Linked DNA regions of Canis lupus familiaris. The protein of the gene in region 2 purifies or fractionates together with the protein of the main gene of each other region. This does not show direct contact. Links are inferred from orthologs where the notes say so. Each region holds a gene or a part of one and is shown on either strand. Other genes may lie near its edges.

Region 1 (7,627 bases), on a different chromosome or scaffold from region 2:
CTTAGCGTCCTGTTTTCGAGATTCATCCATGTTGTAGCATGTGTTGGTTCTTCATTCTTTTTTATGGACAATTTTCCATTGTCGAAATAGACCACGGTTTGTTTATCGGCCATCCATTGATGGACATATGATTGCTTCTGTCTTTCGGCCGTTGTGGATCGTGCTGCTTGAATGTTGGTACAAGTACTCAGTCCTTCGTGGGTACATGCGTCCTTTGGAGTGGAATTGCTGGGTTGTATGGCAGTTCTTTCTTTAACTGCTGAAACACTTAATTTCTCCACGTTCTTGTTGGTATTGTTAACGTCTGTCCTCCTTCCCGTTTTAGCTGTCCTGGTGAGTGTGAAACAATGTCTTGTGGTTCTCATTGGCATTTCTCTGATGAGTAGTGCCACTGATCATTTTTGCATGTGCTTGTGTGGTCCTGGTATTTTCGAGGCTGGTCCAGGCCAGTGTGCTCATGCCTGGGTCTGAATGAGTGGAGGTAGGGGGCAGGTGAAGAGTTGGAGAATCATATTTTGGCAGGGGCAGGGGGTGTCTTGATACCAACTTTACATTAAGCTGGGCCAGAGCTCAGAGCCTTTCTCCACCATCTCAGGAACCCCTGTCCCTAGGGGTTAGGTGGCCCCATTAGTGCTGCCATCCCTGTGCAGGTCAGACTGCCTCTGCAGCATGGACCACTTGACATCAGAGGTGGGCTCACGACCAAGCTTGGATGCAAGGGGGTGGCAGGGAGTGCAGTGCCGTGGTGACCTCCATCCTCTCTCCCCCTGCAGAAGAAGGACCCAGCCCAGTTCCTGCAGGTGCATGGCCGAGCTTGCAAGGTGCACCTGGATTCTGCAGTTGCCCTGGCTGCCGAGAGCCCCGTTAACATGTAAGACTGACTTTGAAGGGCAGGAGGTAGGGTCTGTATCTGAGGATTGGAGGTCTTGGGAATGGGTGGGGCCATGGCCACAGGCTCAGATGAAACGGGAAGTAGGTTGCCACAGGGGATGTTTCAAGACGACAGGGGCTTAGCAAGTGGCCTCTAGAACCTGGTTCGAGTTTTCCACTTGTGCTTGGTTCTGAGAAATAGGGCCCCAGTTCCCAGGGTCCCATTCAGGCCCCTCTTGAGGCCAGGAGCTTGAATGTGGATTCAGGGGGATGAGGGACATAAGAGACTGAGAAGTGGGGGTTGAGGGTGGGGCCCTGGAATATCACTGAGAGCTGAGGTGACAGGGAATGGGTGTGGGCCCTGGGGACCCTAAACTCGTTGCTCCCCATTTCAGGATGCCCTGGCAGGGGGACACCAACAACATGATTGACCGCTTCGATGTCCGTGCCCACCTTGATCACATCCCCGACTACACCCCGCCGCTGCTCACCACCATGTAAGCTGCGCCCCTGACGCTTGCCAGGCAGAGAGTCTGAGCCTTACTCCCCCCTCTTTCCCAAGCCCTTGCCTGCCTGTCACTTTCCTGGGAAGGAGGAGGTATGCCAGTGGGGAGCTTCCCAGCCTGAACCAGACTCCTCATCCCCTGCTCCTGCTGGCTTGGGGTGTGGCCTACCCTCTTCCTCTGATCTCAAGGCCTTGACCTCCCCCAAAGCTCCCCAGAACAGGAGTCAGACGAGCGGAAATGTAACTACGAGCGCTACCGAGGCCTGGTGCAGAACGACTTTGCCGGCAGTGAGTGAGCTGGGGCATGGCGGGTGGGTAGGGAGGCCGTGGACACAGGAAGACCACTTTCACTCCAGTGCTTTCAACTACAGGACCTGGGGTTTGCTCCCAGCTCTTTCTTCTGAGGCCTCTGTCTTTGGACCCAGTACAGGCAATGTCTCCTGAGCAAGATAGTCCTGCCGAGGTCACTTTCATATCCCACACCCTCTGCCTTTCTGATCTTTGTCCTAAAAAATTTGGGAAAATAGCAAGAATGCATCATATCCCTCTGTGTGTTTCTGCCAGTTTGTTTGGGTCAGAATGTAACTTTTGAAGAGGAAATTTCTTTCAAGAATTTTCTAAGAATATTTACACAAAGTTTGACAATCTGCCAATCCTTTGTATATATTGGTATCGTTCCTCTGAGCCATCACCATGCTGCTTCACAAATAAAACGGAGACTCAGGGTTTTCCCCATTCTGGGCTTGCCCGGGGAGGTTTGGACTCTGACAAACTTGGATCTTTTTGTCTGCATTCTATCTCATCACATCTGCACAACCATCTAGCAGTGGCATCCATTTTATAGACGAGGACGTTGAGGCTCAGGAGTTGGTGGGAACACCGTCCAAAAAGCTGGGATTCTCACCCTGCCCTTAACCACTGCTTCCTTCTGATGGTCAGCTCTGAGCCTTAGCTCCCCTCCTGAGAAGGACTGAGACCTCCCCTCTTAGGGTTTCCCTGTTGAGTTAGAAGGAGGACAGGCCACATGAGACCCTTAGCCTGGCCAGTCTCAATCTCCTCCCAGAGAAGGGTGGTGATGATGGTTTCTTTCCCCCAAGGTAGTTGTAAGAGCCCGGTGAGGGGTACATGAAGCCCTGGCACTGAGCCTGGTTCAGTCAGTCCTAGGTGTGGATTTGCTATTCTCTAATTTCTTTGTTTCTAAGATGGGTGTTTTAGCATCTCTAAAACCAAAGATTGCCAAAGTTCTAGCAATCAGTGAGGTGTTAGAATCAGGGAAATTTATCATCATTGATACTGTTGCTGCTTTTGCTTTCACCCAAGGCCAGGGGGTTCTTGGTGATAGAGCCAGAGTTTCCCTTCCTTTGGTCTGACCCTGCATTCGTGCATTGCGATAATTCCTGAGCACCTATGGTGTGGCAGGTGCTCCTCTGGGGTCAGGGTCTCGTGGGGGGGCGGGGAGCAACCACAATGTCCCCAAAGTGGGTGGTGATTGCAAACGAAGGTGGGGTTATAAACAGACAGTGCGCTGTTCTCTGAGGTGCTTGACAGAGGCTAGGGTTGGAGAAGGGTGGAGAGGAACTCTGGTGAGGAGAGGTTGGCTGGGATCTTTCGGGTGGATGGGGGCAGGCAGCCTGTATGGCTGGAGCAAGGAGAGTGAGGCAGCTTGTGTGAGACAGGCCAGCAAGGCCCTCTCCCAGGCTTTGTATACCATGATTGGGAACCAGGAAGGACATGGGGGTGGGGGTGGGGCTGCTGGAGCAAGGGACTGTGCTCCGTCACCTCTGGGTTCACTCAGCCCTCCAACTTGACTTTACAAATAGAAAAGCTGAGACCCACAGAGGGAAGGGGACTTGCCCAGGATCCCGCAGCCCGTCAGGGCCATGTGTTCAATTGCAGGGAAGATCAGAGAAGGCTCTGACACAATGCCGAGCTCCCCAAGTTAGGTGTTGTGGGTAAACAAGAGCTCAGATGGCTCCAAACACATGTAATTGAAACTGAGCCACAGAGAGGCACATGGTGGAGTGGCCCATGAAGTCCCAGTGACATCCAGTGGTCAGAAGTTTGTAGTTTTGAGGGGTCCAACCAAAGGCCTCCCTTGCAGGGATAATAGGAGCATTGCTCTAGTGCCAAGTGCTCACTCTGCCAGGGCAGCTGCTTTACAGAAAAGGAAACCAGGCAGAGAGAAGTTAAGCCCCTTTATGGTCTCATGGCGAGTCCTGCAGTTGCTGTGTCCTCCCCACACAGTTTGTGATTATCTGCACTCCAGCAACTCTGCCCCTGGCTGAACTTGGGTTGCACTCGTCTTCCTTCCTTCTGCATTCTTGTGTCCCTCACCCCCACTCTGACCCTTCTGTCTCGTACTCTGCTTCAGTCTCAGAGGAGCAGTGCCTGTACCAGATCTACATTGACGAGCTGTATGGAGGCCTCCAGAGACCCAGTGAGGATGAGAAGAAGAAGTGAGTTGGGGTCTGGGGGCATGGTGGCAGTGGGGGAGCCCGGAGGACTGTGAGCCCCACCAGGGCACGGCCTCATCTAGCTCATCCACCTCAGTTTTCTCAGAGTCAAGGCCAGTGTTGGGTACACAGTAAGCACTCAGTAAACACTTAGAGGAGGAAGTGGTGGCCTGTGTCGACCCAGGCGTGGGTGAGTCCTGCCTTTGAGGACTCCCTCTCTGACTTTTGTTGTGCTCCCCTGCCACAAGGGCTAGGAGGAGTCCTCTCTTCCTGCAGTGAATGGAGCTTGTAGGTGGTTCTGTGCCTGCCCTGTGTGTGTTCAGCAGCAGCAAGTGTCACTTCAGAGGGGGGCTTCTCAAGGCCATGTCCTTCAAGGAACAAGCTGTGGGGGGAGTTGGGGCCTTACCTGGAGCAGCTGGTGGGCAGTCTCCCTTCTGTCTTTGTGCCCTCTGCCGGGGTAGCCCTGTCTTCCTCCTGGGGCAGCTCTTGGCCCACCTGTCCCACAGCAGTCCAGGAGCCTGACTCCTTTCTTCCATCTGGAGTTTCCACAGATGCCATGGAAGCTTCTCAATGACTGATCCTTACCCATGATCCCACTTTCAGGATGAGGTTGGCACTCAAAGGGTGCTTGGGACTATTAACTAAATTAATTCAGCAACAGACATGCTTGAGGCTGCTCCCCTGTTATGGGCAGAGCTGGGTCACGTTGTTACCCAAGATAACTCTGGGTCCTGCCCTCGAGTCTGCTAACAGCAAGTGCTTAGAAGACAGAAGGGAGCCTGCCCCGCTGGGACCTCCCTGACCCCCAGTAGTCATGACCCAACAAGGGTGGGGCTGAGGAGCTCAGGATGGTGCATGACCCAGCCTAGGTAATGACTTCCTGGAGGCCTTGGAGCTGGAGCTTAGGGGAAGAGGGAAGGGCTGGTAGGAGGCAGGTGCAGAAGGTTCTAGGCTGGGGGACTGTGTGTGTGAGGGCCTGGAGGCAAGAGCACCCTTGGGAGGCTAGAGCTTGGGGAGTCAGTGTGCCCTCCCTCATGGCTTGGGATCTGGGCTGGACCCTGCCCGTGGCCCTCCTGGCTCATGGGCTCCCCCGTCCCAGGCTGGCAGAGAAGAAGGCTTCCATTGGCTACACCTATGAGGACAGTACCGTGGCTGAAGTAGAGAAGGTGGTGGAGAAGCCAGAGGAGGAGGAGTCACCAGCAGAGGAGGAGAGCAACTCGGACGAAGATGAGGTCATCCCCGACATCGGTGGGGTCCCCTCTCTGCCCTCTCCCACCCCGCAGTCCCTGGGCATCGTTTTCGTGTCTCGTTCCTCACCCTCTGTGGGACACCCCGCACTTACGAGCCCCATTTCTCCCGTCCCTGCTCCAGGGCACTCCAGCCTCTGCCGTCCTCCATGTCTTACTCACGTGCTCCTCTGTGTTGGCCTCCCTCTCTGTATTTCTCCTTTCTCATTTTAGGATACTACTTCTATGATATTGTCCCCACCTAGGTTCTGTTTCCGTTCTTTTCTACTTGGGTTAGCCTCTCTGTCTCCCTCTTTTTGTCTCTCCTCTGGAGAACATGTGTTCGTTCAGTCCAGAGCCATCCCTCACCTCCCCCCATCCAGACCCTGCCATTCACTGTTCCCTGCAAATACTGGTAGCTCCAGTTGTCTAACCTCATCCGCTCAGCCAGCTGCTGCTTATCACACATATGTGAGGCATCCATCCCCTTCTCAGAGTGCATCTAGCTCCTAAACACTTCTGACTCACCCAGATCTTCACCCCCCATCATCCGTCCCCATCGACACATGGTACATCACTCAGTCCACTGGTCTCGATCGTCCATCTCAGTGCTCATTTGGGTCCTCATGCATTGCATCTCCTCCCCACCCCCACCTAACGCCCCTTGCCGTTGGTTGCGCTCACCTCCGGCCAACCCTGTGCCAGCCTGGGGACGCCGAGATGAGCTGACTCGTTCCCTCCCTGCAGAGGCCTCCAGTGTGGTGGGCATCCCCTCGTGCCCCCATCTCTCAGGGCACTGCCCCCTCATCCCTGGTCTTCTCATTTGGCTTTGGCCCCTGACAGCCTTTCTCTTGGTGCAGACGTGGAGGTGGATGTGGACGAACTGAACCAGGAGCAGGTGGCAGATCTCAACAAGCAGGCCACGACCTATGGCATGGCCGATGGTGACTTTGTCAGGTGAGGCCTGCTGGCTGGTGCTCCTCCATTCTGGCCCAGTGTCCATCCTCACCCCTGTTGCTCACAGCTGCTTTATTCCTCGGTGCTGGTAGGCCCAGCCCCATGTGGGGGGGGGGGGGGGGCGGCGTGCGGCGGCTTCACATGCACAGGCTCCAGAGCATATGGGATGGTACTTTGACCAGGCTTTGCCTGTGTGGAAACTGAAGCTGCACCCAACTCCGTGTGACCTGCGGACCTCTGACCCCTAAAAGTTCCCCGGGTTCCTGGGCCTGGTGGACAGCACCCTCTGGTGGAGAGGAGGCTTCAGTCACTGGCTCACTCCCTCACAGTTGCTGATGTGCATGCAGGTCTCACAGAGAATGGCCCCAGTTAACAGAGTATTGGGTCTGAATCCGAATGATCCCATCTGAACATGGCACCCTCTGCTCAGAACCCTCCATGACTGCCCCATTCCTTGGGCACCCAGAGTCCTCACCACGGCCACAAGACCTTACCTGTCTGGTCCTCTCCTCCTCTTACCCACACACTCCACCCCTGTGTAGCCTCTAAGGCTCCACCAGACTTCAGGCCACTGCAGTGTTGGCTTTGCGACTTATTCCCTGTGGTTTCTCCTCAGTTGTCATTTTTCTCCATGTGGCTTCCCTGACCTCCCTCTTGAAAGCTGTAGCAGCTTTTACATGTTCCCTGGCACTTCCTTCCTCCTTCTGCCGTCAATCTTCCCATCTAACTTTTTACTGTTTAACGTACTACTCGTCCCATTACCTTGGTCACTGTTTTCTCCCTAGAACGTAAGCCCGCAAGGGCCAAGATTTTTGTTTGTTTTCAATAGTGAATCACCAGTACGTAAAATAGCATCCGTGTGCAGTGGGTGCTCAGTAATCGTGCTGAATGATTGAGAGACTCCAGGATGGTGTGGGATTCCTCACTTCCTGCAACAGTTCTGCCTATGGCCACCCCTTCTCCACTGTGACCCCCCTCCCCTTGCAGGATGCTCCGGAAAGACAAGGAAGAGGCAGAGGCGATCAAGCACGCCAAGGCCCTTGAGGAAGAAAAGGCCATGTACTCGGTGAGAGCCGGGCCAGGGTGGGGGGTGGGGGTTGCCTCAGGGAGGGTGCATCCCTCATTAACACAGTGCCCCCCCCCCCCCCCCAACTCTCCAGGGCCGACGTTCCCGTCGCCAGCGGAGGGAGTTCCGGGAAAAGCGACTCCGGGGCCGCAAGATCAGCCCACCCAGGTAGGCTAGGTCCCTCCCCTGTGCCTCTGCCCTGCCAGCCTCATTCAGGGCTCAGGGGCAGGGAGCTTGGGCTCATTAAGGGGCCCCCTTTGGGGGCAGGCTTGGGCTTGTGAACAGATTCCTCCTAGTAGGGCAGTAATTGGGGTAGGTTTAGGGGAGGAAAGGCCTCAAGGGGCATGTAGACACCCTGCCCTGCCAGCCACTCCCCTCACCTGCTGGACTTGGGACTCTTGCCAGGCATCACAGGCACCAGTGGGAAAGGGTGTGGGGTAGCTAAAGAGTTGAGAGCAGAGTCAAGGGAAACAGGTCTGTCCCTGAACTCCTATGTGCTTCTCCTCCTGGGTGGTGTCCTTGTCAGATTTGAGGCAAGTGACTTCTCTTG
Region 2 (8,354 bases):
ACATAAGTGAGAACAGAACTGTCTGGTATCTTCTTTACAAACCAGAAGTAATGACTATATTAAACATAAAAGTCCTTTAGTAAATATAATATTTGCTGGTCCCAGAAGTTAAGGGAACATCAAGAAGCCCCTAATTTCTCATAAGCTCAAAATTTCTCAAGATCTCAAAACAAAACAGAGATCTTGGGGCTCCTTGGTGGCACAGTTGGTTAAGTGACTCTTGGTTTCGGCTCAGGTCATAATCTCAGGGCCATGGGATCAAGCCCTACATTGGGCTCTGGCTCAGGAGGGGGATCTACTTGAGACTCTCTCTCCCTCTCTCCCTGCCCTCTCTCTTGCTTTTCAAACAAATTTTTTTTTTTTTTTTTAAATTGCAGAGGCCTCTATCAGGAAGTTTACAGTATAACCAGGCATACAGATTTTAAGAAGCCAATTTCAAGTACGAGGATGATGATGAAAAGGAAGTAGAGGTTCTATAAGGGGATAAAAACGAACTTAACCTTGGAGGGGTGAGTGGATATAAACTAATGTAACCTGAGGAAATGCCTTTCCACTGTGATCCAGAGACTAATGAAGAGATGGCAAGGGGAGTCCCAGCAGAGGGATGGACAAGGACAGAAGCCTGAAGGTTCGAGAACATGACCTCTTTCAGTTCAGTGGGAGGTTACTGCTAAGGTGAGGGAAGAAAGGGAGGTGAGCCTGGAGAAACAGTGAAGCGGGCACCAGACCATGTGCTGTGTGGCCTGAGAGCCATGTTAAGGCTTTTAGACAGGGAAAGCCCTGGTACAATGACTAAATTATTCTAATTTCTGAAATCTGACTTTACTGCACTTCCTATTTCTAAGCATCAATTATAGACTTATTTACTCTTGAGCAAATTTCTCAGTTTCCTGCCCTACTTAGTACTGTATGCCATAACTGCTGCCAAGCATTTTATATACACCTTCATTTAATCCCCATAACCATGGGAGAAGGTGGAATCACTACAAAATGCGACACAATGCAGGTGTTACATATATTAGTAACCACACTCACAACAACAGAGTTTGTCAATTCACTGGCATTAGGATTATGGCATTCACTCCACACATTCATAAGGAGACACAGCCTAAACAGAAGCCAAAACTAGGGATGCCTGGGTGGCTCAGTGGTTGAGCATCTGTTTGCCTTAGGCTCACAGTGTGATCCTGGAGTCCCGGGATCGAGTCCCACATCAGGCTCCCTGCATGGAGCCTGTCCCTTTCTATGTCTCTCACGAATAAATAAATTAAAAAAAAAAATCTGAAAAAAAAAAAAAAAAAAGCCAAAACTAATTTTTCCAAGATTATTCTTCACAGAAAACAAACTATAGAAATTCTGTCTTGATATACTCAGGCAGGGGAATAGTAAAGTTTGTGTAATCAAAATAGTAAAAATAGGGATCCCTGGGTGGCGCAGCGGTTTAGCGCCTGCCTTTGGCCCAGGGGGCGATCCTGGAGACCCGGGATCGAATTCCACGTCAGGCTCCCGGTGCATGGGGCCTGCTTCTCCCTCTGCCTGTGTCTCTGCCTCTCTCTCTCTCTATGTGACTATCATAAACAAATAAATAAAAATTAAAAAAAAAAAAAAACCAAAATAGTAAAAATAGCCATATGTACCTACTGGCAAAGGTCAGAGTCATTTCTTTTCTTTTCTTTAGATTTCATTTATTTATTCATGAGAGACACCAAGAGGCAGAGATATGGCAAGAGATATAGGCAGAGGCAGAAGCAGGCTCCCTGCTGGGAGTCTGATGTGGGACTCCAGGATCACACCCTGAGCCAAAGGCAGATGCTCAACTGCTGAGCCACCCAAGCAACCAGGTCAGGGTCATTTCTAAGATAAATGTGGGCAGTCCATCCCTCTTTCCATCAAACTTTGCCTTTACTGCAACTTTGCCTTACTCCCTGAGAGTATGGAAAGGTCTTCTCTCTGCTGTCACCCCAAATCTACACAATGCCTGTGACTTAACTGCTGCTCAATAAGTCTTTGATAAGTCTATCAATTCCCAGTGTTTTCCCAACTGGGTTGGAGTCCCAAAACTTCCTGAGGACTCTGTAATACAGCCAAGAAAAGGCACACATACAACGAGGCCTATGAATCTGATCCCAAACTTGCCATTCTTCTTTTCCTTACCTTGCCCCAGGGGAAAAAATTCACCCCTAAACACTTTGTAGTCTAAATACAAAAAGTAGAAATGTAATTAATTTTTACTATTATGAGAACTTTGTTGAAAATGAGTGTTAGGGATCCCTGGGTGGCGCAGCGGTTTGGCGCCTGCCTTTGGCCCAGGGCGTGATCCTGGAGACCCGGGATCGAATCCCACATTGGGCTCCCGGTGCATGGAGCCTGCCTCTCCCTCTGCCTGTGTCTCTGCCTCTCTCTCTCTCTCTCTGTGACTATCATAAATAAATAAATTAAAAAAAAATAAATGAGTGTTATTCTATATGTTTTCTTTGCTCAAACGTGTTTCATTTAGGCCCTGTAACCCTGCCAGTTGTTCTAATGTTTTCACACGTGTTTATGTCATCAGGGTACCATCCGACCTCTAGTGGTGTTGTTAAGCGACACAGTGCACCATGGTTACTTTGCTTTTATACTCCATGTGTAAACATGTTGACTAATCAAAAAGCTGTAAAAAATAGGCTACAAAAGATCAAGCCCCAAAGGGTTAAAATGGACAACTCTGGTAAGTTTCACACACTAGAAATGCTGAGGCCTCCCTAACCCTGGACTTGTTTCAGTGTAAGTTCTCTGACCTGCTCTGTAAAGCTCTCCTAGATCAAGTCCCATTCTCTAGTTTGACTGCCTCATATTGACAATTCTGTTACCATTCCACGTTCAAGGGCACACAAGGTCACTCTCTCCAGGCCTCCTGACAGCCCATAACTAAGTCAAGCCACAGCTGTGAAGCCATCATCCTTACAAAGTTTCTAGGTATATTTATTCTAGGTTCTCTTTGCAGAGATGTGATTTTAGAGTTTACAGTGTTTATTCCAATGTGAACAAAACCATGGAACTGAAAACCTCAGTAATGTAAAAAATAACTAACTAACTAACTAACTAACTTAAGGAACTACTTTCCTGTGTAATACTCCTGGTATTAGCCTTAACTTGTAAAAGAGGAAAATTGGTCAAATTTTTCATATATGCATAAGCTCCCAAATAACTCACTATACTCAGATCTTTCAACTGTCTTATAAAAATGACTTTAAGAACACACCCTCAAAGCTGCTTTGGAAATGCAGAATTTCCTAGTGGTGACAGGCAGAAGGCTGTCGTGTTCTCTCCCAATCTCTGGGTTGCCCAAAACACTATCTGTGGATAAGGGAAGACAAAGAGTTGTTCTGAGATGAAATCCAAGATTCTTGGCTTCATGACCAATAAACTGTTATTTAGATGATTCCACATCCATCTCTATAGAAACACCATTCAACATACCACTTCTCTCTGTTCTCCCCTCAGGAATCACAATAAAGTGCCTGTCTTAACTTATCCTTAACAACAACAACAACAACAACAACAACAACAAAAAGGGGGGGGGGGGTGAGTACAGCTGACTGGGAATCTGGATGAGAAATGAAACGACTCAGGACAGGATCATTATCTCCAGGGGTCAGTGAAAAAGTGTTATCCAGAGGATACCTCAAAAAATAATAATAATGAGGCTGAAACCTGGCTCTGAGTTTATTAATCCAAACAAAGCTTTATCACCATTTTGTAACTTTTTCTGATGTAGGCATCAAGCACGGAAGGCACAGTACAGACCCCAAGTAGCACTGAATGTGGAGCAGGTGCCCAAGGCCCCCGAATTCTCCCTGGAGATCACTGGAAGGAAAGGAGCAAATGAATGAAACCCAAACATAACTGCCTCTGGCTTGTGTGCCTGGAACAAAGGTCCTGTGTCTTGTGCCCAGCACAGTGCCCGTCACCCAACAGGGCATCAGGAAATATTCGTGCAATCAGTGAACAGCAGCTTCTTTCAAAGCGGCCTCAAGTTGTAAGGTCATGCATTTCACGCTAGGACACGGTACCACCGATCCCCCCGCTATATAAATGGGGAAACCGAGCAAGCGACTGACCAAGTCAAGACGGCGGCGAGGTTCGGCGGTCACGGCACACCGCGGCCGCAGGCCACAGAAGCCCCGGCCACGCCCCCACCTCGCGCCTCGGGGCCGGGGTCCCGCCGCGGCAGGACGCCCCCGCCGCCCGCCCTCAGCGCCCGCACGAGGAGCGGCGCGGCCCCTGCGCCCCGCCCAGCCAGCGCCCCCAGATCCTGACCTTTTTGTCCCAGATCTGCAGGGGTTTGCTGCCAATGCTGTAGAGGATGGAGAGGAAGCCGCTCTGGAACGTGTTTTTGAACATCTCGCCCGCGGCCTTCCCAGCCGCGCCGGAGCCGACCTAGATACGGACGCCGAGGGGCGAAGGGAAGGCAGGGCCGGCCCCGGTCCGAAGGAGAAGCTGCGCTCCTGGCCGCCGGCTCTGTAGTCACCTGCGGCTAAACTTGGACGCGAGACGCAACGTCCTCCAGTTTCAGCTCCCCGAAGGCAAAAAAAAAAAAAAAAAAACCCTCGACTCGGAAACCACAGCAACGGCCGCCCGCGCCGCTCTCCCCGCCCTGAATGGAGGCGGCGGACCTTCCGCCGCGTAAAATGGATCCCTCCGCCCACTTGGCCCGCCCCCGAGCGCGCGGGGCCCAATCCTGACACAGGCTCGCGGCTTCCGGTCCCTCCGCTCTTGGGCCCGGGTGGAAAGAACTCTGTTGTCAAGGGAATATTTTTCCCATCTCAGTCCTCCTGAGTTGCCTTAGAAGGCGGAAGAAGACGGGAGATTGCAGACGGTGCGGCGCCCCCGCGGGGCGTCACGGAAACGTGGCGGGGGGCGGGGTCAGGGACCGCACGGCCCGCCCCCGCCCCCGCCCCCGCCCCCGCCCCCGGAGGGACTGGGAGGAGTTACAGGGGCGAGAGCGGAGAAAGGCGCGGAAGGTGCTTGGTAAGCAGCGGCTTGCCTGGTGTTCTGAGAACGTCAGGGCAGGGCTAAAGCGGCCGACCGCTCTTGCGCATTCCCTGGGCTCCTCGCCTCGTGTGCATCACTGCTTTATCAACAGTCACTATGGCTATACACCGTGTTGTCCTGTGGGATGCAAACCGTGCCCTCGGGAAAACATTACCTGGAATTCACTAGCAAACAAAGCCTGAATATTAATATAAAAGCAGAAGTTAATAAAATTAAAATAAAGTTGAGTTGGATCAACAGGTTTTTTTTTTTTTTTTTTTTTTAGATTTTATTTATTTATTCATGAGAGAGAGAGGGAGAGGCAGAGACACAGGCAGAGGGAGAAGCAGGCTCTTCGCAGGGAGCCGGATGCGGGACTCGATCCCGGGTCTCCAGGATCATGCCCGGGACTGAAGGCGGCGCTAAACCGCTGGGCGACCCAGGAGTCCCTCAACAGTTTTTTTTTTTTTTTTTAATTTTTTTAAATTTTTATTTATGATAGTCACAGAGAGAGAGAGAGAGAGAGAGAGAGAGAGGCAGAGACATAGGCAGAGGGAGAAGCAGGCTCCATGCACTGAGAGCCCGACGTGGGATTCGATCCCGGATCTCCAAGATCGCGCCCTGGGCCAAAGGCAGGCGCCAAACCGCTGCGCCACCCAGGGATCCCTTAAAAATCAACTAATACTTAGAACATTTTTTAAAAGACATAAAATAAGCTCTGATATTTCACGTGTGGAAGAAATCCCAAATGCTGGAGACCTATCTATCACTCACTGAGCATCTACCTCCATATTATACCGTATGCCCAGGCCTGTTCTGGGTGTTGTGGCTACGGAAAAGGAGTTTGTAGTGAACATCATCATCAAAACAGCTACAAATGGCTAAGATCAGTGGAGCATTCATTAGGTATCTGGCACTATACTAAGAGCTTTAGCTTTTACTAAATCATTTAATCCTCACAGCAACCCTGTGAACAATCTAGCCAGAATTTCTAGACATGGTACAGGGGGAAATATATGGATCTTATTAGGGTAGAATCTCAAAAATTTTTTATATGAAATAATCCTTTTTGGATGACTTCTGGGAACTCTATATACTTTAGGCCAGTGGACAATTTATCCCTTCGTTGTTATTAAATTTTCAGGGATCCTTATTTGCCTCTTCCAGCTTTTGATGGTCCTAGCTGTTCTTTGGCCTGTGGCAGCATTACTCCAATCTCTCTGACATCTTGACATAGTTTTCCTGTGTCCCCTCCTCTTATAAGCACACCAGTAATTGGATTTAGTGTCCACATTGAATCCAGTATGACATCATCTTGAGGCTTTCAACTTACTGCATCCACAAAGACCCTATTTCCAAATAGGTGTCCATTTTTGAGGTTGTGTGTAGACATTAATTTTGAGCAGACACTATTCAACTCAACATACTACCTCATCAGAGAGGACTTCTTTGACAACCAACCTGAAATGGACCCCCTACCCCAACTTTTTGTCACCCTACCCCACTTTATTTTTTTTCACAGCACTAATCACCACTTCATAGTCTATATAGTTACTTATTGCTGTCTCCTTTCCCCTGATTTTGATCTTCTAGGAGAAAGAATTTGGTCTGTCTTGCCTATTGATGTATTCCCAATACCCAATCCAAGTGCCTGCATAAAGTGGGAATGCAGTAAGTATGTGTTGATTCAGGGAATCAGAGTCACAGACTTGGGGTCCTGGTTACTACAGATCCAGCACAGGCTCTGTCTCTCCTAGTTTCAGCAGCTCCACACCCATCCAGCCAGTAGAGATCTTCTACTCTGAATTGGGGCTCACCTAGCCCATTTGCCTGCTCACATTTCTCTAATTAACCATGCATTCTCCTCAAATAAAGTGGAACACCTTAAGTGAGTGTGGGCCTAAGTGCCTTGAACAGATAGCCAATCAACGAGCAAGCTGATGGAGAAAATGAAAGCATTTGCTTCTCCTAACTACCCATTCTCAGTAAGTGTCTGCCTGAACTGTGTTCAGTTCTTCCTTATATTGGATTTCAAAGATGATTGTGATCATGACCTTGGCTACAGTAAAAATGATTTGATCAAAGGTTTGGAGAGCATGAATTAGTGAGTTGGCTCCGTTACGGACCTAATTTTGGTATGCTTTTTTCAGGTGCAGATTGTATCTCTGTGCATTGTATCCCAGCACCTACACAGTACCACCATCATGGCAGGCACACGATGAATGAATGGACGGATGAGTAGACTAGAGCCAAAAGGACACCTCTGACATTTATTTTCATTTCAAAGGTAATGTTGACCAAATTAACCTAAAACCATGTGTCTCTCACAGAAAAATGCATTTAAGCACTAAAATTCTTTAGGATTGTTTTCCCTCCATCAACATGGAGTTATGTAATGACAAAACACAAGAGAAATCTTGCTAATTAGTTGCTTCCTTCAATGATTTCTCTAATTAGAATGGAGTGGGTCAGTTAAAAAAATTAATAAATAGGAAGCAGAACTTACTGAGACAGTAAAGGGATTCCAATCTGGGTAGTGGGTGAGGATGCAAATAGGCCATTAAGAGTTTTATTTTTTTATTTTTTATTTTTTTTCATTAAGAGTTTTAGAACAGGTAACATAATCCTAACCCTCATCAAGTAAGGTATAACATAGGGGGTGGCCTTGAAAACCCCATTACTACTGCAAGGGGCTTAGTTTGTTTACCTGAAATTTGGGTGAAACCATTGCAGAAGTAGCAACCAGTACATGACCAGCTCAGAATCTCTAACCGTGAATGTATCACAGTCCTGACTTTAGATAGAATATGTTACCTTGGTAGGATATCAAAACATACACAGAGATTATGGCAAGTAAATTAAAACCCTGGTTATCAGTAATCTTTGTCAAATTGAGGAATAAGTTTCTGATTATTGTGATATTTTGTTAAGATAATGTATTAGAGAATCTGATACATTGAATTTAATTTTAAATGCTTAAAGGAATGTGAAATTAGATCTGTGATTTTAACAATGTCGAAGAATTATAAGTATATAAGCATTTGATGTTTAAAGATTTTTATTTATTAAATATATGAGTTTAGACATAAATATGTTCATATTTGAATGCTTAGGAAAACTTCATCTAATTTTAGGTCTTCCCTATTAGCAATTGGAAATGTTTGTGGAATTCAAACAGATTGGGTATGTGGTTGACTTTGAAATGTCTGAGGAAACTAGATTCAACGTACAAACAATATTTACAGTTTAACCCATTAAGTTTTGAGATGATTGAACCATCAGTCAAGGAATAAGCAAAAGTGTTTATATACAAAACCAACTAGTTTGTAGTTAGAACAGGA

What was found. Proteins that work in one complex are often made in the same cells at the same time.
Region 1: the proteins of CFAP20 (region 2) and CLK4-associating serine/arginine rich protein purify together in Homo sapiens (affinity purification with mass spectrometry; 3 studies listed by BioGRID and IntAct, counting the BioPlex papers as one, with this or other methods). This does not show direct contact. The link is inferred for Canis lupus familiaris from reciprocal best matches to the Homo sapiens genes CFAP20 and CLASRP.

The regions. Positions count from the first base shown.
Region 1 is NC_049222.1:111,129,735-111,137,361, reverse strand, and holds part of CLK4-associating serine/arginine rich protein, read left to right. Parts: intron 1-773; coding exon 774-871; intron 872-1,265; coding exon 1,266-1,367; intron 1,368-1,583; coding exon 1,584-1,663; intron 1,664-3,746; coding exon 3,747-3,831; intron 3,832-4,927; coding exon 4,928-5,076; intron 5,077-5,914; coding exon 5,915-6,011; intron 6,012-6,998; coding exon 6,999-7,077; intron 7,078-7,171; coding exon 7,172-7,245; intron 7,246-7,627. UniProt on the Homo sapiens protein: Probably functions as an alternative splicing regulator. May regulate the mRNA splicing of genes such as CLK1. May act by regulating members of the CLK kinase family.
Region 2 is NC_049223.1:57,712,628-57,720,981, reverse strand, and holds the start of CFAP20 (cilia- and flagella-associated protein 20), read right to left. Parts: upstream 4,631-8,354; 5' UTR 4,384-4,630; coding exon 4,300-4,383; intron 1-4,299. UniProt on the Homo sapiens protein: Cilium- and flagellum-specific protein that plays a role in axonemal structure organization and motility. Microtubule inner protein (MIP) part of the dynein-decorated doublet microtubules (DMTs) in cilia axoneme, which is required for motile cilia beating.